Coturnix japonica: one gene and its partners. The protein of the gene in region 4 purifies or fractionates together with the protein of the main gene of each other region. This does not show direct contact. Links are inferred from orthologs where the notes say so. Each region holds a gene or a part of one and is shown on either strand. Other genes may lie near its edges. The genes, in order: MKRN1, DDX6, LARP1, PABPC4, G3BP1, PAIP1 and ATXN2.

Region 1 (3,500 bases), on a different chromosome or scaffold from region 4:
GATTCTGTGTATTGAATTCCCGCAGAATGAAGACATACTTGCTGTCTTTCACTGTAGAGAAACTTATGTTCCTTTTAAATGATGGACCTGCCAGCAGGAAGGAGTGTCGTGGTTTTATTGAAAATGTCTTCTAATAGGATATTCTAATCAAGTATATACCTGTCCTGCTACATAAATTGAAGACTGGAAAATTTTGTGTGGAAAATACTTCGTTAAACTATTTGGGTTGGATTTAAGTAGACCAGAGTGCTTTTGTTCTGTATGCCATATAAGGGGAAACAAAAGTAATTGGAATAATCCTACTAAGAGCTGAGCGTTTGAATGTGATGTAGACTGAAGCTGGAGAGTGCAAGCTCTTGAAAGCAAATGCTACTTACTTCATGGGCACAGCTTCATCTTGACAGAGTAGATAATATCTTAATGCCTTAATTGAGTTTTTCAGAACTTGAGAGATATTCCTCAGCTTAGAAATTCTGTTATCATCCACTTTAGTAGGAGCTAGTAGCCTCATTATTTTCCATATACATTTGGGCTCTAAAAATGCGGCATGATTAGAGAGTTCTAAAACTTAACAAGCTTGCAACCTCTATGTAGCTCTTCAATATAAACAGGTGGATTTGCTGAATGAATCTGCTGGCAGAGGTAGAGACATTGCGCTTCTCAGTGCAGCTGTTTCTTGGCTCGGTTTTCAGGTTGGCATAGCTACGGTCTGGGTCTGTGGGCTGAAGATCTCTTTGCAGCTCAAGCATCAGATGTGCTCTTAGCATTGTTCAGTTTGGTCCAAAACTTACCCGGTTCATATATTGAGATTGTTGCATGATGAGAGCCGAAGTGTCAAAAGCAGGAGTTGTTTGTAGTGAGGCTGTTTTCAAAAGTGCACTCTTTAGCACATGCTAAAGCACTGAAGTGAGACTTGCATGTAGTATTACTCTGAGTTTTGAAACTGGCTTGAGTGTTGAAAGTAGGTTGAGTGTAAGGCAATGGGATGCTATGTTACCTTTGTACCATAGTCATAACTTAATCCCCAGAATGATTTAGTCACCCATCTTGGCTGTGAAATGAAACTGGATTATATTGCAGGTCCTTTCCAAGTGAAATGGAGAATGGGAGGTCAGCTTTCTGGGATCTAACCTACTGAAGAGTAGTGGCTTTGAAAATAGCGGGCAGAATCATAGAAGATAAGTGAGGAGTGTTTGGATGTGGAACTGCTGAGACTGTGACTTCTAAGTTTCTCTAATTTGACTTTCAAAGATAGAGCAAAACAGTGCAGTAGGTTCAAGAGTTACACATGTAGGGTTTCAGATTGTGGAAAAGGTAAGACAAGAAGGAAAAAAACTGATTTCATTTTCATAGAAATACAGCTGTAGCTGAGATGAAGTGCTGGGAAAGCATGGAGGACTGGGACTGAAAAATGAGGTCACTTTCAGCATGTTTTCCCCCTCCTATAATGTCGTACTTTTAAAGTGCCTGAAGGCGTTATTAAAGATCGCCATTCACAGAGCTATATCTTAATGTCTTGACCTTTAGATGACAAGAACTGGTTGTGCTTTGGACACAAGGATGGTAGTAGCATGTACCTAGCTAGAATTTACTAGCTACACTCCATATTCTGCTTGTTGCTTTTAGTGGTGGTGTTGTGTTATTTGCTGTTGCTCCTTAAATAATTCAGTATATTCATTTTTGCCAAGGTTTGAAGCTCTGCTCTCTCTTTTTGTGGCCCAGCGTAGAAAATGAATGGGATTGTAAGTCAGTCTTTGGGGGATAAGACTTCAGAACCTTTCTTCTCAAAAGAACCTCAGCTAAGAAGCTCTTTGTCAAAACTTTATCAAGAAAGGTTTTATAAAGGATATCCTTCAGAGGAGCACAGGTGACTCTGGAAACTTTCTCCATTAAGAAAAGCTTCAAGTGTACCTCTGCTTCAAAGTATACGTTTTCCAGGGATATAGGATTGCCTTGAGCAAAAGATTATCTTGCCAGCCCCATTTCAAAGAGGTGCTGTAGCAGTAGGATCCTTTGAAACTCAACTGTATTTCTCTGGTTAGTAGCCTTCTGTCTGTGAATCCTGTGATCTACTAAACTCTCCCTCCTCAGAAAGTTAAAAACGATAATAAAAAAATCTTAACGGCATGAAGAAAAAGCACTGGCAAAAATGACAACCAAGGGAATGGAAACAGAGCGGTACTGGTGATTTTCTTTGTTGTTGTTACTGCTGCTTGAGCAAACAAGGGCAGATTGGATATCTGTTTCGGATGGGTTTTATTTACTTTATTTGCAAATATCTAGAGTAGACACAGAGCCACATGGAGCTGTGGTCAACATCATGCTGATTAACCTGCCTTTGAGAAACTGGTGATGTAGTGTTTCTGTACTGGCATTTCTTTATGCTGGATACACCGCTATTGCTTCAGTGATGTAATTGCAGTAGGGATAATTGAGAATCAATTCCAGCTGGACAAGAACTGATTCTCAAAGCAGTGAGTGATTTTTAACCTTACTTAATTGTTGCTGAACCATAGTTAGCATAAAAATGTAGTTAGTGAGACTTTCTAGCAAAGGCTGAGCCTGTAAATAGATTTTGCTCTGACCACCGAAGCCTTTATAGCTTTAGTCTTGTCTGAATTGAAAGATGAACAAATTACATTAGAAATCGGTATTGCTTTCTTGAGTCAGAAAATAACTTAGTTCAGATTGAAGGTATGTGGAACTTGGACTGAAGCGAGCCTTGCTTTTCTTCTAATCCATTTGGATAGCTTGAGCAGGGTCACCCAAAGAGTTTTTGTTTTTTTAACTTCTTTCGTTAAATCTATCTTCTTGCTCTAAATGTGAATGTTTTGCTTCCCATCCTTAATTCTGTACCCAGCTGCTCCTTCCTGCACTGAAGTACCCTTGGAAGAAATGGTGATTGAGGAAGAATATGAAAAGCAGGAAGCAGATGTGGAGATGAAGAAGCAGCTGTGCCCCTATGCTGCGGTGGGAGAATGTCGTTATGGAGAAAACTGCGTGTATATCCATGGGGACGTCTGTGATATGTGTGGACTGCAGGTCTTGCATCCAATTGATGCTGCACAGAGATCCCAGCACATCAAGGTAAGCAGACAGCTGTCTGGTGTTAAATAGCTCCAAGTTATTGCTTCCTAGCTCCCTGCAGTCACTTGTCATTTATTCCCTTTTATTTGAAGGTGCATGCGAGTTGGGCAGTGAATGAAATTCCTGTTGTAAACCAGACTGTTTCCTGTCAGTGCCGTATTCAAAAGCAGCTGGGCTTCCTTATCTGTGCTGGGAGAGCAGTCTGCGTGAAGATACTAAATCTTTGTTCTTAGCCTAGTAAAACTGGATGGTCTTCCAGATTGCCTTTCTGATGTTTAAAGCAATGTCTAAAGAAAGGAATTTGAACTGTGAATTGATTGTTTCCCACTGTCTAAGCAGCACTTTTTAGGGATAAAGACTGCAGCTTTATCATTTTCCATTCCTTATGTAAAACAGTGAAGTGATACTCAGTG
Region 2 (3,500 bases), on a different chromosome or scaffold from region 4:
TGATACTTTTAACTTTCAGCAATGGTGATCGTTCCCACCCGTGAACTAGCCCTGCAGGTCAGTCAAATCTGTATCCAAGTCAGCAAACACATGGGAGGTGCCAAAGTGATGGCAACAACAGGAGGAACCAATTTACGAGATGACATAATGAGGCTTGATGATACAGGTTGGTGCACTTTGTTGCATTACAGTTACTGTTTATTTGGGGCTTTTATCCTGGGTGGGAGAATTTGTACTTTTCTCTTTTGCCTGTGCTACTGTTTGCTTGTTAGAAAATAGTTTGTAGTGTGTCCTTGTCACTGTATGTGGTTATTCTCTCAAATGCTTGGTATAAAACATGTCTCTGAATGCTGGAAACACTGCCTGAGTTGCCTTAACTTTTTTTGCTCTTCTCACTCCACAGTGCATGTGGTGATAGCTACCCCTGGAAGAATTCTCGATCTCATCAAGAAGGGAGTAGCAAAAGTTGAGCATGTCCAGATGATAGTATTGGATGAGGCAAGTAGCTCATGTTAAAACATTTTTCACTTGTTAAAGCAGTGATGTGTCTCAGCCAGCCACCTCATTATGCACATCAACAAGTAGTTTTGCTTGAGGATATCAAGGTTATAGCTAAATCATTTCTTGGTGGTTTGAGAAGGTATTTTGGCAGAAGTTTTCTGGGTGTGAATTTTCCTAGGTTGCTTTCCTAAAAAGGTTTTGACTTCTGTTTACTTTTTTGTTGCTGTGGAACGGATTAACAGTCACTTCTGAATGGAGGGAATGCATTTTGTTTAGTTTCGGTTTGTAACAAATGAGTAGTGCTTACCACAAGTTCATATAAACTGATTTATGAACATCTGAGAGATTACAGGCTTCTGAGTGAGAAGGTTGAGAAAATAATCCTATGACAGCTCTTGGCGTCTATTTATTTTTCTTTAATTTGATTCTGTTTTGAAAACAGTTTTGAAAACCAGGAAATGTAAACTTCCTTTAAGTGGTGAATCCTGGTTCCAGCAGCTAAATCAAATATCTTTTAGAGTGTAGTGATTGTTCCAAAGGGAGTGAAGCTGGGGAGGAGACTATTCCTGGTGGTGTTTTCTTTCTGCTGTGTTACACTACCAGAGGACTGGGAGCCTGTCCCATCTCTTTAATGTCGTATTTTGTACTTTTGTTGTTACAGGCAGATAAGTTGCTGTCTCAAGATTTTGTTCAAATAATGGAAGACATTATTCTCACGCTACCTAAAAACAGACAGATTTTGCTCTACTCAGCCACTTTCCCTCTGAGTGTACAGAAGTTCATGGTGAGTGCAGTTGGAATCTTGTACATATGATTGTGACACTGTACATAGGGTACACGAGTGAGTGGTGTTCTTTTATTTACACAGTCATGCTTTCTTGGTTTAATATATCAGCCTAAATATGGGATAGAAGGTAATTGCTTTTAGTGTGGTCTGATGCCTTGGATTTATAAGCAATCTTTCATAAACTTTCTTGAAATTTTACCTGCCCTTTCTCATGACAGATACAGAGTGTCTGGGTGGTGCATTCGTGCTTTGCAGTTTAAGTGTGCCAGAGGACAGGATGTCTTTATGCTGTTTTGCATGTAGATACGCCTGCTTTATTTTATTTTGTCTTTCAGAATTCCCATTTGCAGAAACCCTATGAGATTAATCTGATGGAGGAGCTGACCTTGAAGGGAGTTACCCAGTACTATGCCTATGTAACTGAGCGTCAGAAGGTTCACTGCCTCAATACGCTGTTTTCCAGGGTAAGCAATAGGGTTTAGAGCCTACAAAAGCAGTTTTTCACTTCAAAATAAAATAGTAAGATTTAGGATGACAGGTTTTTCCATGACAAAATGTACTAATGATGCTGTGAGCTAGAGTTAAAAATAATTCTTATTCTGCACTTTTGTGCTACAGAACCTTGAAGTTTTTTTCCCCTGTTGTTCAGAAATATATGTTATGAATTGTTTGTAGCACCTGTTCTCTCTTTTCGAAAGGGATTTAGATGCATGCCTTAGATTTGCTGTGAAAATTCCATGTTTACTGAACACTCTGATTATATTTCCAGCTCCAGATCAACCAGTCGATCATTTTCTGCAACTCCTCTCAACGGGTTGAATTGCTAGCCAAAAAGATCTCCCAGCTGGGCTATTCCTGCTTCTATATCCATGCTAAAATGAGGCAGGTAAGTACAAAGTTACAGCAGTTGCTATCTGGGTTCTTCAGGTTTATTTAAATTTATGTGTGCTGTAAAAATGTATTTTGCTTTAGTTCCACTTTGTGTCCAGACTTTTTTTCTGCTCTTTCCAAACTGATCAGTTGGTATTTAGGAATACAAACAGAGCAGTACTCAGCCAGTGTGAGCTCACAGCGTGACTTGGCAAGCAGCACATCTTGCTCCACGGCTGTAGGGGAATCTGAGAAGTCAGGGAGACAGCTTTGATCAAAGCTCTCAGTGAAAGTACCAACTATTACTGCATAGCAGTTTTGCACCCATGGCCTTGCTGTAAACATGAAAAATAGCAACATGGTTTTGGTGCACAGGGATTTATGTTACTTGTAGAGTAGCTCATGTACTCAAGCTTCACACTATAGCTTTCCTTGTTAGCTAGTGAACTTGGAGACACTGACAAGAGGTTGAAGTGATGTGTGGAAGGTGGTAGGACTTTGAAATATCTTACATTTTGTATGTAAACTAGAACAAATTAAAACGACAGCTTTAATGGACACCTGGCTGTTCATTGGACTGACAATACGAACCTTTGCTGGGCTATATATGGAGCAGTAATTTAAGCAGAAAAGGAGCTGATGTCAGTGTTGAGAACACAGCTGTGCAGATGGATTGCTTGAGACCTGGTTTTCATTTCTCTTATTTTTATCTTTCTGGCAAAAAAAAAATGGAGGCATCGTTATTTGAGTGGGACACTGCAACTTGTTCATTTCACTCTCTGAAAATGAAACTGCTTATTAATCTGCATAGTCCAGTGTGGCTTGTTAGTGAGAGAATAGTCTGCGCAGGCACTTGGCTCATACCATCACTGATTCAGTGGTGGAAAATGCTCTGCAGTGGAAAATGGAGTTACTTTGAGTTTTAAAGGAAGGATGTTTCCAGATTTTATGTCAATGCTCATGAATATATTTTTAGGATGTAAGGTATTAATATACAGCATTTGGCATGGAGCTAGGAGAGATGATAGTCAAAACACTGGGAATGAAAATAGACCTTGGGAACAAAAGAAGTTTTGGTATTAAGAGGCAGAACAAGGAGTTTAGACTCAGCTGATATTCATGAAGGGGCGAGCGTGGGATTTGTGGTTGTAAATTGAGCACTCAACTGAAAGTCATAACTGTTCTTTAATTAGTTTATTTATGTGTTTCCAGGAGCATCGCAACCGCGTGTTCCACGATTTCCGAAATGGCTTATGCCGCAATCTTGTTTGCACTGGTAAGAGCCCCTATGCATTTCTGAAGGTTGTGGTAGAGTAGCCATTAGCCCAGGTATAATTGATGA
Region 3 (4,191 bases), on a different chromosome or scaffold from region 4:
GGTCACCAATCAGCCTTCTGATGGCTCCTTATTTGCCCTCCTGGGCTGTGAGCCATCCTCTCAACCCTCCTGCTTTTAACCTTCACCAAAGGCACTGAACATCCTGAGTTGGAAGGGACCCACAGGGATTACCGAGTCCCACTCTGGGCTCCACACAACACCATCCAAATCAGATCCCTACATCTGAGAGCCAACACTCCTTGAGCTCTGGCAGCTCGGAGCTGTGTCTGCTGCCCTGGGCAGCCCATTCCATGCCCACAGCCCTCTGGTGCAGAGCCTTTCCCTTACCCCCACCTAACCCTCCCCAGTGTAGCTCTGTGCTGTGCCACAGACACAACCTCTGCTCATCGGACACCTGATTTTGTATCCCCCAGATGGAGAAGAGAATCTGTCGTGGAACCACACATGTCCTTTTCTCTGTTCATTTAGAATCATGGAACACCCTGAGCTGGAAGGGGACTCGTAAGGATCACTGAGTCCAACTCCTGGCTCTGCACAGAATCACCCAAAAATCAGACCGTATGACTGAGAGCATTGTCCAGATGCTTCTTGAACTCTGGCAAACTCGGTGCCATGGCCACTGCCCTTGGGACACCATTCTAACACCCGACCACCCCCTGGTCGGTCGAAGTCCCCTCCCAGGCTCCCTACACCTTGTCACACAGGTAGGCATCCAGGCGGGTCTAAAATATCTCCAGAGGAGACTCCACCACCTCCCTGTGCAGCCTGTTCCAGTGCCCCGTCACCCTCACTGTAAAGCAGTTCTTCCGCACATTCGTGTGGAACTTCCTATGCTGTACTTTCATCCCATTACCCCTAGTCCTGTCCCCACGCACTACTGAAAAGAGACCAGTGGCTCCCACACTTCAGGTATTTATAAACCTGGATCAAGTCCCTTCTCAGCCTTCTTTTTTCAAGGCTAAACAGACCCAGTTCCCTCAGTCTCTCCTCATAGTGGAGATGCTCCAGACCCTTCACCATCTTAGTGACCCTCCGCTGGACTCTTTCCAAAACAGATCCCTGTCTTTTTTATACTGGGGGAGCCCAGAACTGGACACAATATTCCAGATGAGGTCTCACACCAGGGCAAGTCACCCCGCCGGGTGCTGCGAGGAGGATGGGAGCAGATCAGAGTAGATCTCATCTCTCTCTTCTTGCCATCCCCATCTCCACGCGGCCCCTTTAAGCTCAGCCGGGCGTTGCATCAGGCACGTGCGCGCCGCCGCCTGCCGGCCTGTCGGGAGCGCGCCCCGCCCCTCCTTTCCCCCCTTCCCCTCCCCTTAGGCCGGGTGTGCGCGCTCCCGCGGCCGGGGCGGCGCTGCGCGGTGCGCGCCCCCGCGGCTAGTCGCGTGGTCCCCGCGCGTCTCCATATTGCTGCTGCTGCTGCTGCGGCCGCTATAGGGGGGGCGGGGGGGAAACGCCGCGTGTGAGTGAGTGAGTGAGTGTGTGCGCTCAGGGGGCGCTTCCCCCCGTTGCGGGGCGGGGGCGCGCAGATGGCGACGCAGGTGGAGGCGCTGCTGCCCGGCGCCCCGCTGCTGCCCGCCGAGGAGCGCGCCCTGGTGCTGAAACCGCCGCAGGACGGCGGCCGGGAGAAGGGCGAACCGCCCATGGGGCCCGACGGCGGCACCGCGGCTCAGCGGCAGCCCAGCGCCAAGCAACAGAAAGACGAGAGCAACAACCAGGAGAAGGAGAGTCTGCTGAGGGCGGGAGGAGACACGGAGGACGGCGGTGAGGCGGGCGGCGGAGCGGGGAGAAGGGAGTTCATCGAGGCTCCGCCGCCCAAGGTGAACCCCTGGACCAAGAACGCGGCTGCGCTGGCGGTCAACGGGCAGTCACCTCCAGGTGGGTGCGGGGGACGGAGGAGGGACACGGGGCTGAGGAGGGACACGGGGGTGCGGTCGAGGCCGGCGACGACCGCGCCCCGGTCCGGCAGCGCCATGCGGCACGGCGTGCGGCCTGATGGAGCGCGGCGGGGGGAGGGGAGCGGCCGGGCCGGGGCCATGCGGCCGGGGGAGGCCCGAAGCGGGCGGAGGGCGCGGTGCGGGCCCAGCTCGTTGGGCCGGGGCCGGGCGGGCAGGAGGAGGCCTCCCCTTCCCAGCATTCCGCCGAGCAGGCAACGTGGTGCCTTCCCCGGCCCAGCATGTGATTTCCCCCACGGCTCGGCCTCCTCCTCGGGCCCACGTGCGCGGCTCCGAGTTCGGCCCGATGCGGCCTGAGGGCGGCGGGAGGCCCTGGGGAACCGTGCGGAGGCCTCGTGCGATCTATGGAGGCCCTGCGGGGCTCGGGGGCCGCGTGTGCTCTGCGTGGAGGCCCAGGCGCCTGTCGTAAGGCTGAGCCGAAATGGCTGAGCGCCGTTAATTCACCTCTTGGGGCTTCTTTCTTTTGTTTTGTTTATTTATTTGGCAGGAGATACGGTGATATCAGGATAAACTTCTTCTCAGGAAGAGCCGTGGGGTGCGGGAATGGGTGGTGGAGTGCCCGGCCATGTGTATGTGGTGCTGAGAGACGTGGCTTAGTGGGCAGTATTGGTGGTGTATATACTAACTGTATATATATACTAACTGTACATATACATGGACTAGATGACCTTTTCCAGCCCTAATAATTCAATGATCCTGTGTTTGGGAGCTGATTGCTGCTCGGCTGGAGTTTTAATTCCTAATATTTTTGGCTTGTCTCTGTGAGCTCCGCAGTCACGCTGCCAGGTATGACATCAGGTTCCTTGTTACTGTTCTGTGTTTTGCAAGAAGCATTGCAGGCTCGGTGGGATGATTCACCAGAGGTGCTATTGATCTGTGAAAGATGGACACCTCTGTGATTTCCACCTGGAAAGCTGTCGTCTTTAATGGTAGCATAGAGGAGGTCAGTGTGCCAGGTAAAAGTCTGCGCCCAGATGGTTTGGTGGTTTGTCATTGTGTGTGCAATGCACAACGAAATCCAGGACTGTGCTGCTGTCTGTGTTTTCCTCTCACATGCAGAGTGACATCCAGCTGCTCACACTGCTCCTTTGTGTGAGAGCTGGGCTCTGTCACGCTGCCTTCTTAGGCTGCGCTCCCTCGGAATTGACCAAAAGGTGCAAAAATACGAGTTGTTCCCCCAGTGTTCCTGTTGGAGGCCTTGCAGTACATGCTAAAGTGGGGGGGGCAGGAGCTTGAATAGGCACTGTGTGGTGGAGGAGGGGGCTCTGCAAAGTCTGATATGATTTTTGAGGGTACAGCGTAACAGTGGGCAATAAGCATGCAACGTCCTGCGTGGTGTTGGGCCTGGCCCAATTGTCCCTGTATTCCTGGAGGAGTTGAAATAATGGAATTGATTTTTGCGGTGCCACAGACGCTGCCACTTGGCTCCCTTGCACTTGGGGCATTGTTTCTTTTGCTGCCTGGTTCGTTAGCAGAAGAGAAAACGTGTAAAACAAACACGGCTGGCAAACTCCCACGAGAGGCAGCCTGGTGGCTGGCCTTGCATAGCGGCCCTTTGCCTGAGTGCCTTCTCATGGGCTTGGCAGGTTCCTGCCGTATCTTTGCTGCTTTGGGTGGAAGATTTCTTCCAGCAGATGTTTCTGAAAAGAGATTTGAAGTGTGAGAATGTGTAAAAGTTGTGCTGTGGTGCAGATGAGCCGTGGTGTTGCAGTGACCTCCAGGAGCTCATCAAAGAAAAGTGGTTTCTCTGTACGCGTGAAACACACTAAGCACACATAAACTCTGGAAAGGCATTACTGGATGTTTTTAGGTTTTTAGCATAGGAACTGTGGTTGGCAATGCATGGTATTTGTGTGCTGATATACTGAATGCTTGCAGCCTTGATCCTGCTATAAAGGAGGTAGTAAGGAGGACTAGGAGCCATTGGACAACAGAACAGCTCTCTAAAGATACGGGGATCCCTCTATGACTTGTTTTACAGACTTTCAAAGCCCTAATTTTTTATTATGATTGTATTAATTATAGGCCTGAAGAGCAGATTTAATGGACAAGACATGCTCCTTAAGGTGTTCACCCATTCTTTAACGATCTGTGCTTACAAAAGGAAAGGAATTGAGCTCAAGCTCAGAGAAAAACAGAACCGTGCTCAAGGTGTTTGTGAGTTTTCACTATCTGTGTCTGCGGATGTGGAAGAGCCTGGCAAATCCCCCTCTGCTTGTTTTGAACTCCTTGACTTGTGCAGCTGAACGTCACCTGGGAAGGGTGAACACGT
Region 4 (4,137 bases):
AGCCCAGCCTCCCTCTGTTAGAGTCACAGCTGTGACATCCAGCAAAGGTGGTAAATAAAGTCTTTCCAGCCCCTGTTGGTGTGAGATGCAGTGTTGGTGTGCAGCTGTTCTGCCAGTCTGGATGCTGGGATGACTGCTGGCGTTGCAGCACATGAGCTTTGTTGAGGTGTAGTGTAAGGGAACATCCCCAGCAGGAACGCTGCTTGTGGTGGCTGCTCCCGTGACTTCTTACTTTGCAAACCACTGCATGAGCTGAGATCAGCAGGGATCTCATGGCTCTCACCCTGAGGTTGGCAATAATCCATGGCTTGAGCACAGCTCGTTTCATTTAGCTCCCAGCATCCACAGAAATGCCTTGGGACGCGCTGAGACCAGTCCAGCCAGACTGCGGGGCTGCCCTGTGTCTGCTGACCCTCTGTGAGCAGAACCAGAGTCACCTCTCGGCTCCGGGCTGTGGGAAGAGCTGAGAGCAGCCCCTGTTCAGCGGGGAGGATCCTCAGCGATCCCGGCCGTGAAAGAGGCTGCGAGAATTTCCCGGGGAACGGTGAAAATTCAACTTCCTTTCCCATAACTCGTTCTCGCTCCAAAACGCCTTTCCAAACCGCCCATAAATCCTCGCCTTAAGTGCCGTGTTGGGAATTGCTGGAAGGGAGCAACTGCAGCTGCGAGGAGGAAGGCAGCATCCGTCTGGAGTCAGAGGGAGCGATAATGGGGCCATTGAGCGCAGCCAGCCCCGGTGCCCGGCAGCCCAGACGCGGTGGGAGGTGGCGGGGGGGTCCAGCCCCGCATGGCTCGTTTTGGGGCGGCTGTTCACCCACAGCCCCGCGGGGGTAAAAGCAAAGCGGGGACTGCGGGAACCGCTTCCTGCGTGCCGGGATCAGGCGGTGGGAGGGCAGCGCTCCAGCCCCGCGGGGTTTTCCCCCCGCAGCAGCGTTTCGGTCGCAGTGGAGGGTGAGGGATGGAGCTTCTTTTCCCAGGGTTTTTCTAAGATCAAACATCTCCGGTAACACATCCCGGCAACGTTTGATCTGCCCTGTAGGGGAAATCCCCAAAGTCCCCCGAGCATCCTCGTTCTTCGGGCTACAAACACCATGAGCAGCCCGAGGGGACGCAGGGCTGTGCCTGCTGCGGTGCGGACGGGGCTGTGGGCGGCACTCAGCGATGCTCAGCCCCTCACGGTGCCGGTTTCCCGTCCGTTCCGTCCCGCCGTGTCTCGGTGCGGTTCCGCCGCCCTCTGCCGGTCCCTCCCGCAGCGGAGCAGCCCCGATCCGGACGCCCCGGTCTCGGTCCTCCCAGCCGCAGGGCGGCGCTGTAGCGGATGTGGCGCCGCAGGGGCCGCTCCCTCCGTCCCGCCGCACGCGGCCCCGCACGGACCGGGCCGGATATAAAGGGCAGCGCGGTGTGAGCCGCCCCTTCTGTGCCCGCCGGGCCGCAGCGCGTGAGTGGGGCCGGGCACCGGGACGGGGCGGGGAGCGGGGCACGGAGCGGGGCACGGAGCGGGGCACGGAGCGGGGCACGGAGCGGGGCAGGGCGGCTGCGGCACGGTCCGGTCCGATCCCGGCTGCCGCGTGGGGCTGCGGCCCGTCGGGGCCGGTTGTGGGGCTGAGCCTCGCGGGGACGGGGCGGTTTGAAGCTCCGGGTTGGGGCGGGTTGTGGGTGTCGGAGGCCGCGGGTTGTGGCTCTATGGCCAAACAGCCTGAAAACGGCCCGTGCGGGGCCCGGAGCTCCGCGCTGTGAGCCGGGCCGGGCTGTGAGCGGGGCTCGGTCCGCCCTGACGGAGGTTCTTCTCTCTCTCTCTCTCCCCGCAGACGCCCCATCCACGCCGAGCGGTCCGGGCATGAACGCGGCGGGCGGCAGTTACCCCATGGCCTCGCTGTACGTGGGCGACCTGCACCCCGACGTGACCGAGGCCATGCTGTACGAGAAGTTCAGCCCCGCCGGGCCCATCCTCTCCATCCGCGTGTGCCGCGATATGATCACACGCCGCTCCCTCGGATACGCCTACGTCAACTTCCAGCAGCCGGCGGACGGTACGTGGAGCAGCCGGGGGGCTCCGAGCCGTGTCCTCCCTTCTTGGCGTTCACCCGCTGTGTCTGTGCCTCTCAAACAGCCTCACGGCTCTCAGACATTCAAACACAGTTTATCAGGATCTCCACCTGCTCGGGGGTGCCCCCCCAAAGCACTGGAGGTGCCAGCTGTTCTGTGTACCTGGCACAGCTGGCTAATGAGCCCCAGTTGGCTGCTTTCTGCCCTCACCCTCTGGCTGCTCACCTGCTTCCCTTCACACCTGGGAGGGCTGATGGCTGCTGTATGACAATCTGCAGTGCTGTTCTTGAGCAGCTCATTGTGCAATGCACTGTGCTGCCTCCTGTGCAGGGTCCGTGCTGCTTTACTCTGGCCAGATTGTTTCTAGTAGTTCCATTTGGCACCTGATTCAGTAGATGCTCCAGTGCTAAAGCAGTTGGAAGCATGAAAGATGGGACAGAAAAGGTCTTTGTGAATGTGTTTTTTTTTTTTTTCTGGAAGAAAAGTAGGTCAGTATTTTCTGCCCTTGTTCTGAGAGCCTTTACTTGTTGCCTGGTGCACATTTACTGCTCTTTGCTGTGATTTAGCAGTCTCTATATATAGACATCTCCAGAACAGACAGGATTCAAAATCAGTTCATAACAGCCCAGACTTGACCAGCCAGTAACCTCTCCCGTAGCCTGTGATTGGCCATCCTGCCTTTGAGTTTTACAGAGAGCAGATAGCAGACTTCCACAGGGTAATAAATACTTTGCCTTCAGGTCACAGCCTTCACAGTGTGTAGAAATGTCATCACAGAGCTGTGCTCCTGCAAGCCAGCAGAGCCTCTGAGCTCTCAGCTGATTTGATGTGAGCTGATGGTGACTGTACCGTCCTGGTTGCTGTCCTCTTTCCCGGTTCAGAATGCCTTCTGTGTTCTTAGAGTAGAGAAGACCCCTATCATGTAGGTGTAGGTGTGATGTTAAAAGGGAAGAGTAGCTAGTTGTAAATGCTTATGGTATCAGGAAAAACTCCCAAACAAATAGGAAGACAGCTGGTCTCCCCATGTGTTTCAAGGTAAACTTTTATGGTAATAAATAGGCATGAGTTTAGAGGGATGTTGCATCATTCTGGGCTCTTGGAGAAGCAGCAGACATTTTAGGAAGCCCCAGCACATGAAGTGATACTTTGACAGAGTAACTGGTGTCCTGTTACCGGTAGGTCTTACAAGGTCAAGTGACTTAAACCTTATCTTTGAGTTACTATTGGGAGGGAGGGAGAAATCCGCAAACTCTTCTGCCTCCACAAAGAGATCTGGGTCAGAAAGGTCCTTCCTGATGTAGTGAACAGCAGCATGAAAAGGGATAGTTTGTATTTCCTGGATACCTTTAGTGGAAGTAGGAGCACTTTGTAAATCTGAAGAGTTGTCAGATCCTATTAACCTTTGGGTGGGAAATAGGATTCTCTCCTTACTGTCTAGAGGAGCTGAGCTGTTTACAAGTCAGGTAGCAGCCAGAACGTTGCTGTCCTTTAGGGCTACCAGGAGATCACTGTAATCGTATCCTGAATTTCTGTGTTTCCAGAACTCCTGCATCTAAACTGGTTCAGGGCTTGCATTTTTCTTGTTTTTTCACAGCTGATGGTGTGATGCTTTACCCTGAAGGGGTTATTTTTGGACATGCATTGCTTGATGGTCTGCAGGGAGGTTATTTTTAGTGAAAATGAGCTCTGCTGCCTTCAGTTGAGGTTTGGTGCATGGTGAGCAGTGAATGCTCAGTGCTGGGTCTGTCCTGTTCTGATGGGCAGGTTAAGGAAACGCTTTGAAGTTTTGGCTGGTTCAGACTTTGCCATGGTTGTTAATATTTATTCTTCTTAACTGTAAGTGGAAAGAAAACAAACACATTTCATTTGGGAGGGGGAAAAAAAAAGCTGTTTCCTTTTAAATGTGCTCCTCATGCAGTTCAGTTGTGTTCCCGGGTTTTATAACATTGACAGTTATGACAACTCAGATAATCATGGAGAGAAACTTCAATGTGGCCATAGAGATAAGCTGTTCTGGCAGTACAGAGAACAGTGCGTGTTTCCCAAGCCAAGAAGGAACCCGGGGCTGGGATTAGATAACTGTCTCTAAGC
Region 5 (3,500 bases), on a different chromosome or scaffold from region 4:
TCCTGAAGGTGAGCACCAGCAGACTCCATGTATTTCCTTTGGTGTTTGTTCCTGGGTCTGTTTCATGTTTTGTTTCCAGACTACAGGAGGTCTCTTTTTACAGCATTCATCTTTTTGGTGTTCCGAGTCTTTTCTTGCCTGTAGTTTTGTCCTTTTATCACTATATTATCTGTAGTTATTTTTGATATAATCTTTTTCTATTGAGCAAGCTGTGAGATCTTTTTTTATCAAATTTGTAGGCAATGATTGTATTCTGAAGTATTTAGAAAATGTTATTTAATGTCAGAAAAAGCAAGTAACTCAAGTGGAAGCATAACTGTAAGGAAATGTCTGTTTAGTGCCATGTTTTGGTTGTGCTTCCTTGTGCTCCTCAGCAGAGACTTCAAATGTGTGTTGGTGGGAGGTGAGTTGGAGTCGAGTAGTAAAGCTGTGTGTGGTGTTTCTAACTTCTTTTAGAATCAGAGGAAGAAGGGGAAGAACCTGAGGAAAGACAACAGACACCTGAGGCTGTTCCTGATGATACTGGTGCTTATTATGAGCAGACTGTCAGGTAATACCTTTGTTAGATGGTAATATTGACTACTTACAGAACAACCTGTAGGAACTTGCTGCTATACATGATTTTACCCTTTTGACAGTTGAAAGACAACTGAAACTTTAATGCTGTTATGCTTATTGCAGAGACTCCAGATTATCAGTACATGTAATGCTTTGGTCTGTAGTGTATTAATGTGAAACTTGCAAGCTTGTACAATGTAGTTTTATTTAGATTACCTTTGTTCTTCCTCTGTAATGAAATGTTCAACACAGAAACAAACCACAAGTAGCATTCCTTATATCTAATCAGATGCAGTAAATACCACCCTTGCTTGCTTTTCTTGTGGTGCTAATAGCAATGACATTGAAGAACACCTGGAAGAGACAACTGCAGAGGCAGAGCCTGAGCCAGAGCCAGAACCTGAACAGGAACCTGAGCCAGAGGCACAGGAAGAAAAATCTGAGCCAGTATTGGAGGAATCGGCTCCAGAAGAGACTGTAGAGAAGAGTCCTTCTCCAGCTCCTGCTGATCCAGCTCCTGCAGTGCAAGAGGACTCCAGGGTAATAACCATGTGTGACTTTTTGTTGTTTAATCAGGAAGTTTGACACTCTGCTTTGTTTCATTCTGTCCTCCAGTGAGGGAAGTATCTGGAATTAGATATAAGTGTTTAAATGCTCTGAAGCTCTTTCTTGAGTCCAGATCGTTCTTTTCCTTACCAGTTGCTTTTTTCTCATTGACTTTTCTACAACAGTAGATAGACAAGTAGTTACTACCTAGAAATTCAACTAAATTACCGTGATCTAAAGGAAAGCTTTGTAAACTATGGGGATGTTGGAACTATGGTAATTGTGAGAGGCTCAGTTTCTTAGTTTATAAGCAGAGCTTCTGATGTTCTTTATAGACTGTAGCCAATAGCCAAGATGCAGAATCAGGAAAATGGTTGAGATGTGACCTAGATGGTGATTTATTTATTTTTTTTGTTAGTCTGTAGTGTCAAAGGAATTAAAAGTTGACAAATGAGTATTCCATAAAACAATGTTTTAATTAACTTTGTTGTGGTACTTGGTGCTAGGCTGTTGCTGTCTCATATTTCAATTCTACTTGGAAGTCAGATGTAGGTTAGAAGTGGTGTTCTGTTATTGTAATGCATGTCTTCTGACTTGGAATGATTCGAAGGGGGTTGTGGGGAAACTTCTAATGGTTGAATCCATAATATCATGGATTACTTAAACCTTTGATACAGACATGGTAACATCAGGAATATAGAGCTGAATTTAATCTTCTTTTCTTTAGACATTTTCTTGGGCGTCAGTAACCAGTAAGAACCTCCCTCCCAGTGGAGCTGTTCCAGTATCGGGGATTCCACCTCATGTTGTGAAAGTACCAGTCTCACAGGTAGAAATTCAGCATCTAAAGCTGTTTCACTGCTAAACTGGCTGGCAGGAAGCTGAGATGGGGGAGTAGTGGTTAAAGTAGTATAGCCATACTTCAGGTGGTCACTTCTTATGCAGTTGTGTATGGAATGACCTGGTAATTTTAGCTTGATGTTGAGAGCCACAGCGTAACGTGTTTAGTCACGGATGAAAAGAATAGTATTCAGGCTTTTGACTCAATTTTCAAGAGAACTGATAAATTACTTGATAGCAAGCTCTTAAATGTGTGACTGTTTCATTTTATTCTTGCATGATAATTCTCTTTTGAATTTATACAGCCCCGTCCTGAGGCAAAGCCTGAATCTCAGACCCCACCACAGAGACCTCAGAGGGATCAGAGAGTGAGGGAGCAGCGAACAAGCATCCCACCACAGAGGGGTCCTAGGCCAAGTAAGAAAAGCTACAGAATGTAAAAGTTTTTGGATCTTTGATTTGGTGGTTTGTTTTGGGGAATCAGTAAGACAAGAGTTTCATTTGAGTTGAGTCTTGTTAACAGTGAGGTTTTTCTGCTTACCTGGATACTGAATAGTTCTGGCCTGAATGTCAGTCAAGCTCTGGAGCTTTTGTTATGTTCTCTGAAGTATCCTGTTTTTTTATTTAGTATTTGCTTTCAGACAGATGATAGATAGCATGCAGTCAGAGAATTCCTGGTGTAGGGTGCTTACCTTCCTATATATAAGTGGGTAGACAGTTGGTAATTCTGTGATGCTGTTCTTTCTTTTGGGAACTGTCTTTCCTTAAACTTTACTCTTATGTTCAAGTTCGTGAGGGTGAACAAGGTGATGTGGAAACAAGACGGATTGTGAGGTACCCGGACAGTCACCAGCTCTTTGTTGGGAACCTTCCCCATGATGTGGATAAAAGTGAACTAAAAGACTTTTTCCAAAGTAAGTTGGTAGTTCTACTCCTTAAAATTTGTGGTTGCAGCCATTGGTGTGATCAACAGGACATTCTAATGTATGACCCAAGAACTTGGCTCTTCTCTTGCAGGCTATGGCAATGTGGTTGAACTGCGCATCAACAGTGGTGGGAAGCTCCCCAATTTTGGATTTGTGGTGTTTGATGATCCTGAGCCAGTTCAGAAGATCCTTAGCAACAGGGTAAATAAACTTTCAGTCAGGCTTGTTGCTCTGTTAATAACATGCAGTGTTTTTCAAGGTGCTTCCAACACAAAAAGGTACAGTCTGGTCCTGTGCACAAGTAATATCTTTACTTATTCAGTTGTTGACAGAAGGGGTTGAGAGGGAGAAACTATACTAATGTACAGGTTGAAAAGAGTTCCTTGTAACAAAGGAAAAGTACCTGCATAGTTTATCAGCAGTGATTGTTCATGGAAGATGTGCCTCCCTTGAGTGTGTATGGCATGGTGGTAGGCAGTGAATCTGGATGCATCTAAACTGTGCCATGTGCTCCCTTGCAGCATGGTTTTTCAGCAGGTAGTGGCATCCTTTCTTTAATACTGTATTGTCCCCTCTATTTCTGGCCTTAAATTGAAAGGTAGCTTATCATAGAATGGCTTAGATTGGGAG
Region 6 (3,500 bases), on a different chromosome or scaffold from region 4:
CAAAATGAGTTTTTAAGTATCTGCTTCAGTGATACTAATTAAATCCAGTTGAGAAGATTTGTAGATAGTTCTGTGCAACAAAAAGGCTAAAATGAAGGGGGAAAAAAAGAAACAAATCCTGCGCAGTTCTCCCTTCTTTTGAAGGTCAGGTGTCTCAGTCAATCTATAAAGATTAATCATCTGCTTTTCTCTATTCTTTCTAATACATTTACATATGTACCATTTCTTGTCGTGATTTACTCTTCCTAGGCATACTCTACTGCTGAATATAGATTCTAGAACAGATAGCTCTGAAATTTTATCAATTTTTTTGTTTGTTTGTTTAAACATTCATTGCTCTTTAAGAAAGTGTATATCCCTGAAGAAGTCTTAATGCCCTCTATAGATTTTTTTAAAATTTATTTTTATTTATTTATTTTTTTTACAGTTTCTACGTATGTTTTAGACACTCTTTGGTGTAGGTTATAATGGAGGAGTTGAATGCTCATGGTAAAAAGCCACAGAATCACGTATAGTGAGTGTTTCTGTTCTGAAATGTGCATAGCGAAGCGTTGAAAACTTATGTGCCAAATAATAATAATTAATCTTCTACTTTTCAGTTATCAAATCAACTGTTGTTAAATAGCTTTTTCTAAAGTTAAAGGTACTTGCTCATAACCTAATCATTACCTGTACAGTTAATTTATTTATCCACTTTTACTTTGAAAGGCCACATCAGTCCCAAACTTTTCCTACATGGGAGCAAGGTTGTGTAACTATTTATCTCACCATCTAACCATTAGTCCACAAAGTGGGAACTTCCGACAGTTGTTACTTAAAAGGTAAGTATCAGTGTGTCCTCTTAAGCCTATTACTTCCTGTGGCTGGGTTATGTATCTTCTTCTTTTGTGTGTAACTCTTAAATAAGCATCCAAAGAAGTATGAATTTAAAATAGAAGGATTTTAAATTGAGAGCTATTAAGGCAGAGGTACATACTGGATATTGAGTATGTACATACGTTATTTTCTTTTATGTAAAAACTGGACTCAGTTCAGATTCTGTAGTCTCTTCTGAACTCAGTACCAAATTATAGAGTAAATTTGAAAGCTAGTCGTATATACTTCAAAAGTATCCTAAAAATTTACATAAGTAAGACTTCCTTTGTCCTGTCCTTGTCCTTTGACTCTTACTGGGACTCTTTTTTTCTTGAATTGCTTAACTGGCTGGACTTGCTGTGACTTCATGGATTACATGGTGCAACATTTTTTAAATGAATGTGTCTCCTTTAAAATCCTAGCGTGTGACATTTGAAGGATTAATATATTTTACTTCAGGAGTGTTTAAAAATAATCCTTTTCTCTTTAAGGACTTTTGGCTTTCTAAGCATCAGGCTTAATTTAAAAGTTTTGCTTAGTGCATGGAAATTTACAAGCAAAAGCATGGTAAGCTTAAAAGATCATCAAAATGAATTTCTGGAAATTGGGAGCAGTACCTTTTGGAAAAGCAAAAATACTTTGTTACATGTCCTTGTTACAAAGGATATAACCTTTTCTCCTTCCTAGTGACACTACAAATCATCATTTTTATCTTGTTTTCTTAATTACATTTGTTAAGTGAATGGTATAATGAAGGAAATCCTTGCTAATGGTGATTCTTGGTTTTAAAACCAGCCCAGTGATAAAATTAGCACCCTAAAAATGTAAATTTGAGGTTGCTTATGGTTTTGCATCTACTATGGATTAATTTGGGATGGGGTGAGGATAAAAAAAGCTAACTAAATGAATACATATTCTCTTTCTCAGCCCAAATTTCTATCTAAAATGTGACATCTCTCCTCCTTAAACTGTTGAGTTTTCTCAAACATTTCCCAGTCAATTTCTTAATCTCAGCATGTAGGTAATGAGAATATATTGGAGGTTGTCTTGTTTTCCTTTTAATCTGAACTGCCATGTAAACTAGCACTATCTTTGACACACTTGTTGAAGACTAAAATATTGTGTCACTGCTGTATTTCCTTAAGTTATAAATGCTTTTAAATGTATTCAGTTTCCACCGCCAATTATAACTAAATTATGCATAGCTGTCACTTAAAATTGTGGCATAAAGAATTTATCGAGTAAGTGTATAGGCATACCTGGCAATGTGAGCACTGCCTTAAAATGGGGAGAAGCGTTACAGTACCTCCTGTATTTCTGTTAACATTTAGATGCCTCTGTTAAACTTGCATTCATACCGTATTAGGTGTATTTTTGTCTTCAGTATCTCAGTGCTTGAAACCACAATCATGTCATCATATTTATTTACTGAGGACAATAAAACACTTTGCATTTGTGTAGTCCTCTCATTTCCTTTACAAATCATGCTTACCAAGATTCAACATGGAACAGTTTTAACACAGTTCATAAGTTCTTAGCAATGTACTAAATCAGTAGCATATTGTATGTGTTGGGATGCTTTTAAGCACAATAATGATATAATTTTGTTTAATGTTTTCAGGTGTCAAGCAGAGTTCGAAAACAGAGATGAAGCTGCAAAAGGAGATGAGGTTACTCGAAAACAATTCCATGCCTTTGTACTGTTCCTAGGTGAACTTTATCTTAACCTAGAGGTAGGAAAAAAGTCATTTTTCATGTGGTTTTTCACCCATTTTTGTTGCATTTAAGCAAATACTGAAACAAGAGGTATCATTTAAGGTATTGTTTGTGTTGGTTTTTGTTGCTTTTTTATGTAGAAGGGAATAAGTAAAAAACTTCAGAACATTTTAACTGCATATCAAAGGAACAAGCAAAAATGGACAGGATAATTAAAGGAAAAAAAGTGTTTGAAGATACTTTTTAGAAAAAGTGTAAGAGTTAAAAGAACCTAGCACAAAGTACCTTTCCTAAAACTTGCCTGGTCATACCTACTTCACTGTTGGAAAATTTGGAATGAAGTTCTCTGATTTTATTTATTTATTTATTCCGTCATATGTTAAAACCTATCAAAAGCAAATTTAGCCACTAGCTGGAGCTATTAAATGTTTGAAGAAGGGTGAGAGATTTCAAAATGAGCAATCGGAAGTGGAGACCTTCAATGGGATTTCTTTTCAAGGTTTGAATCCTTGGCTTATGCTTGAAGCACCTAATACTTTCTTTAGATCAGTTTTTTTATATCTGTAGTGCTTACATACATTTTTTTTTTGTACACAAAAACCTTACTTGACTCTTACACCTGTGAGTTCAGCAAAGTCACCAACTTCTGTAATAAGCTTGACAATTTTTTACTGAAGTATTTCAAAGGTATGATCTAGTGAGATGCTGTAAAAATGTTCTTGTATCATGGGGAAAGAAAGCGATTCTCCAGCTCTTCCATTTTTGTACATAAACGGGCTTTGAAATGTACTTTTGTCTTTCTGGAAGTAAAAAGGAAGCTTTCCAGGAAGTTTGGGGGGAGAGAGAGCTGTCCAGTTTTATGGAGTTACCCCTCTTATTTTTAAACAGTTTTCTATAATGATTTAAAAAAAAAAAAAAAAACTTTCAGA
Region 7 (3,500 bases), on a different chromosome or scaffold from region 4:
ACTATTTACACAAATGTAATACCTTAAGTCAAACATAAGACTGAAGCCTCATAGAAGTTTGCAAGAAACTCCTTTATTCCAAACAAGAAGAGCTCTTGTGACCTTGTTGAAGCTGACAGCTAAATTACTCATTAACACATTCTGAGCATACTGAGTGTTTTGTTAACACATTACCAGAGAAAAGTTAGCACAAGATCCATCGCTTCCTCCGCTACCAAAACCTTTAACCACAAAGTTAGGACTGTTAGCCACATTTTTTTTCCAATAACCAGCAACCATTCTGAACAAAAGGAGGAGAAGGGGAAAAAAATTCCAGATTTCAAATACAGTTTAGTAAACTCTGCCTAACCTATGTTTTCTTTCACCACCGTGACTAAGTCTGCACATACAACCAAGACCATATGGTTTGCAATAACCAGCCAAGTAATGCTAGTATTGCTGCTGCAAGCAATGTATCAAATCAGACAACTTTACAGCAGCTAAGTCTGAAAGCCTGGTGATCTCTATAACAATCAGAAATGAGTGGGACACAGCTGGAAGCTGAGGAAAAAAACTAGAACAGTTGCTTAAAACTTAAGTTAGCAGTACTGTGCTGGGAGCAAGGGAAAGGAGGTCTGCACAGATTAACAATAAATGCAAGTAACAGCTGTTGGAATTTACAAGTGTTTGAGACTATTAAAGCTCTCAGGTTGAAAGGCCACTGGGGGAAAGTTAGTATTTACATAGCTAAAACTGAACAACAGTTTAATTGTTCCCATATTTACGGGAGTAATACAAAGTGTACTATTAGACTCTCTTAACTTAGATGTCCTAAGTCTCCCAATCTGAAAAGTGTAAACAAATTTACATCACATGCTGTGCTTTACCTGCACGCCTGGACTCACTGGAACCGGGTACATCATATTTGGTGCAAAACAAACAGGTTGAGTGTACACTGGAGTTGGCTGCTGATGGCCCACCATGGAAGGGCTTGGTTGAGCTTGCGGGCGAGGGGAAGTTGGTGTAGTAGAAGGCTTCGGCTACAAACAGAGTTCAGCAGCACATATGTAAGATTAGCTTGACCGTACTCCAAGTAAAAGCTTTGCCTCTGAGCAAATGTTAAACAGTATCAAATAACCTACCTGAGCAAAAGATCGAGGGTTGAATTCTTTTGCATTAGGATTAAGTGTAGATTTTCTAACTTGCCTAAACATAAAGAACAGCAAAAAATAACATTGAGCATTACTCCACTACAGCACATATGCAGAACTCCCTAACAATTAAAAAGCTACAGAGATTAAATATTTCCATCCGTGAGTCAGACTTCTGAGAACTCAAACAACACAGCACACAAGAAGCCACTCTCACTGACACTCTTACTGCACTTCTCTACAGAGGAGTTTTCCTGCTGTTGATACTTGAGTTCACATGAGGCAGAAAAACACTTAAATCATCATTTAGACATAGAACAGACATCAAGAGGACTAGAGCTATACTCGCAGCTCTACCACTGACTCACAAGATGGTTTTCATTCAGTACAAGCATCTCATCTGCTGTTTCCTTTGCTCAATTAAGAGACAAATTACAACAGCCATATAAACATTAGGATATTGCATGTTCATAATAGCTTTTGTACTGACAATTAAATGCTAATAACAGATTTGCTTATCCTAAAAGACATAGTTACTCACTCAGAAGTATCCTTCTTCTCCTCTTTATCTTCTTTATCTTGTTTGCTTCCAGGCCCAGATGTCTGTACACCTTGTGAAGTTACCTCAGGCCCTCGCTTTTGCTCAGAACTATTACTTATTGATGGAGAAATACTTGGACTATTGGGTTTGCTACTGCCACTGTTAGAGTTAGTATTACTGCCAGTTTCTATGATAGGTTCTTTAGGGGTTGGTTCTGTCTTTTCTTTAACTACATCTCTTGATTTTTCACCTTCTCGGGTTTTGTTTAGCAGCTGATCCACTGCATCTGAAGAGGAACTTGACTGTAACTGGAAAAAAAACCCAAGGTATATGTCCATTAAATTAATACACAAAACTAGGAACATCAACCTAACACCATCACAGAGTACAATACAGTCCCATAAACCTCAGTCGTTTGGAAGTAACCTTTTCAAACATATGTTTCTGGTAGAAATAATTAAAAAAGAACACTGACAACGTTTTAAGACTACATTCTGCAGGAAGCTATTCAGAGGCTTGTCTGACCTACATGTCAATTAGGAAGTGGCAGGAAAACTTAAGACCACGCCTTTGACTCAGCCCCCTCCATGCCGTTTAACAGTAACTCTTAAAAAGCTGACCTGATCTAGTAAATCATTACAACCAGGAAACACCAAGTGGGACAGCAGATATTTGGTTCCAATTTTCCTCAGCAAAACCTTACAATGAACTTTGAAGCAGCTTTTCCATAGACGGCATAAATGTGTTGATTCTTTGTACCTAATTATCGCACATGTTTTGAGCAGCATTTTCAGTGAACAGTATTTAAGCTGATATGCACACTTGTTCACTAGGCAATAAGACAAGCAGACTTAGCAATGAATTTCATAACATTCACTGTGAGCTCTTAAGGACATTTTCACACACTGAGCACAAGCTTCAAGGAAATGTTTCCCCATTAACATATGCAATGTATTCAGTTCATTAAAGTAATCAGGACACATGAGAACTACGATACCATTAAGTAAGCACACAGAGACACTTACCCTAAAGTCATTCTTAAATTTCTTTAAATCATCAATCTGTTTTCTATGTTCTGAAACAATTGGAGATACACCTGCCAAACACAAGACCAGAATTGTCCAAGCATCTCTAATTCAGGTTTTCATCTATAACCCCCATGTTTCTAAATTTGCAAAAAGATAATGCTTGCATATCTACAAATTAAATACAACTACATCACTTCATCTGCAATTTGGTATCATCCCATGAACTGTATGTATGAGGACACAGAAATAGTCTGTAAAAGCACGGCATTATGTAAGTGACACATCTATAGTTCTAATACATCACACACTAAGACAGAAGCCCTGAGGTATAAGGACTGCAGAACCCAGCCAAACACAAAGAAGTGTGCAATAAAACCCTCAAAGCATAACATGCCAACATTTCAAAAGTATCAGTTAAAGCTGAAATGCTGATTAAGTTCCACAATGTAAAAAGATTTTTATGAGAAATGCAATAACAAGCAATGCTGCAGAGAAAAAGGCGACATTAAGGCTTAATAGGAAGAAGCGTGGTTATAAAAAATGGTGTGGATCACAACGACCACAAGTATTGTGTGCACAGCTCTAAGAACCCTATCCAGGCCAGGAGAAAGGAAGAAAAAAGGAAAAAAAAAAAACAAAACAAAAACCACACCATCCACATGAATATCTCTATACTGCGAGTAGATTAAATGAGTGAAGAACAACACTTAAAACTGTAGGTCTCTGTCACTTTAGAACTGCATGACCTCATTTTCTCTACATAACATCCAAGACAGATAGCCTCCTCAAAGTCTTCCTTAA

Evidence for each region.
Region 1: the proteins of PABPC4 (region 4) and MKRN1 purify together in Homo sapiens (affinity purification with mass spectrometry; 3 studies listed by BioGRID and IntAct, with this or other methods). This does not show direct contact. The link is inferred for Coturnix japonica from reciprocal best matches to the Homo sapiens genes PABPC4 and MKRN1.
Region 2: the proteins of PABPC4 (region 4) and DDX6 purify together in Homo sapiens (affinity purification with mass spectrometry; 3 studies listed by BioGRID and IntAct, with this or other methods). This does not show direct contact. The link is inferred for Coturnix japonica from reciprocal best matches to the Homo sapiens genes PABPC4 and DDX6.
Region 3: the proteins of PABPC4 (region 4) and LARP1 purify together in Homo sapiens (affinity purification with mass spectrometry; 3 studies listed by BioGRID and IntAct, with this or other methods). This does not show direct contact. The link is inferred for Coturnix japonica from reciprocal best matches to the Homo sapiens genes PABPC4 and LARP1.
Region 5: the proteins of PABPC4 (region 4) and G3BP1 purify together in Homo sapiens (affinity purification with mass spectrometry; 4 studies listed by BioGRID and IntAct, with this or other methods). This does not show direct contact. The link is inferred for Coturnix japonica from reciprocal best matches to the Homo sapiens genes PABPC4 and G3BP1.
Region 6: the proteins of PABPC4 (region 4) and PAIP1 purify together in Homo sapiens (co-immunoprecipitation; 3 studies listed by BioGRID and IntAct, with this or other methods). This does not show direct contact. The link is inferred for Coturnix japonica from reciprocal best matches to the Homo sapiens genes PABPC4 and PAIP1.
Region 7: the proteins of PABPC4 (region 4) and ATXN2 purify together in Homo sapiens (affinity purification with mass spectrometry; 4 studies listed by BioGRID and IntAct, with this or other methods). This does not show direct contact. The link is inferred for Coturnix japonica from reciprocal best matches to the Homo sapiens genes PABPC4 and ATXN2.

The regions. Positions count from the first base shown.
Region 1 is NC_029516.1:55,541,463-55,544,962, forward strand, and holds part of MKRN1 (E3 ubiquitin-protein ligase makorin-1), read left to right. Parts: intron 1-2,860; coding exon 2,861-3,087; intron 3,088-3,500. UniProt on the Homo sapiens protein: E3 ubiquitin ligase catalyzing the covalent attachment of ubiquitin moieties onto substrate proteins. These substrates include FILIP1, p53/TP53, CDKN1A and TERT.
Region 2 is NC_029539.1:4,832,964-4,836,463, reverse strand, and holds part of DDX6 (probable ATP-dependent RNA helicase DDX6), read left to right. Parts: intron 1-19; coding exon 20-166; intron 167-403; coding exon 404-498; intron 499-1,162; coding exon 1,163-1,285; intron 1,286-1,623; coding exon 1,624-1,752; intron 1,753-2,057; coding exon 2,058-2,174; intron 2,175-3,370; coding exon 3,371-3,434; intron 3,435-3,500.
Region 3 is NC_029528.1:5,943,588-5,947,778, forward strand, and holds the start of LARP1 (la-related protein 1), read left to right. Parts: upstream 1-1,391; 5' UTR 1,392-1,493; coding exon 1,494-1,842; intron 1,843-4,191. UniProt on the Homo sapiens protein: RNA-binding protein that regulates the translation of specific target mRNA species downstream of the mTORC1 complex, in function of growth signals and nutrient availability.
Region 4 is NC_029538.1:4,814,725-4,818,861, reverse strand, and holds the start of PABPC4 (polyadenylate-binding protein 4), read left to right. Parts: upstream 1-1,337; 5' UTR 1,338-1,438; intron 1,439-1,808; 5' UTR 1,809-1,837; coding exon 1,838-2,030; intron 2,031-4,137.
Region 5 is NC_029528.1:5,176,353-5,179,852, forward strand, and holds part of G3BP1 (ras GTPase-activating protein-binding protein 1), read left to right. Parts: coding exon 1-8; intron 9-456; coding exon 457-550; intron 551-893; coding exon 894-1,098; intron 1,099-1,831; coding exon 1,832-1,933; intron 1,934-2,249; coding exon 2,250-2,361; intron 2,362-2,732; coding exon 2,733-2,858; intron 2,859-2,940; coding exon 2,941-3,071; intron 3,072-3,500. UniProt on the Homo sapiens protein: Protein involved in various processes, such as stress granule formation and innate immunity. Plays an essential role in stress granule formation.
Region 6 is NC_029547.1:15,439,769-15,443,268, reverse strand, and holds part of PAIP1 (polyadenylate-binding protein-interacting protein 1), read left to right. Parts: intron 1-708; coding exon 709-821; intron 822-2,476; coding exon 2,477-2,588; intron 2,589-3,500. UniProt on the Homo sapiens protein: Acts as a coactivator in the regulation of translation initiation of poly(A)-containing mRNAs. Its stimulatory activity on translation is mediated via its action on PABPC1. Competes with PAIP2 for binding to PABPC1.
Region 7 is NC_029530.1:5,315,403-5,318,902, forward strand, and holds part of ATXN2 (ataxin-2), read right to left. Parts: intron 2,768-3,500; coding exon 2,697-2,767; intron 1,980-2,696; coding exon 1,672-1,979; intron 1,186-1,671; coding exon 1,122-1,185; intron 1,020-1,121; coding exon 867-1,019; intron 1-866. UniProt on the Homo sapiens protein: Involved in EGFR trafficking, acting as negative regulator of endocytic EGFR internalization at the plasma membrane.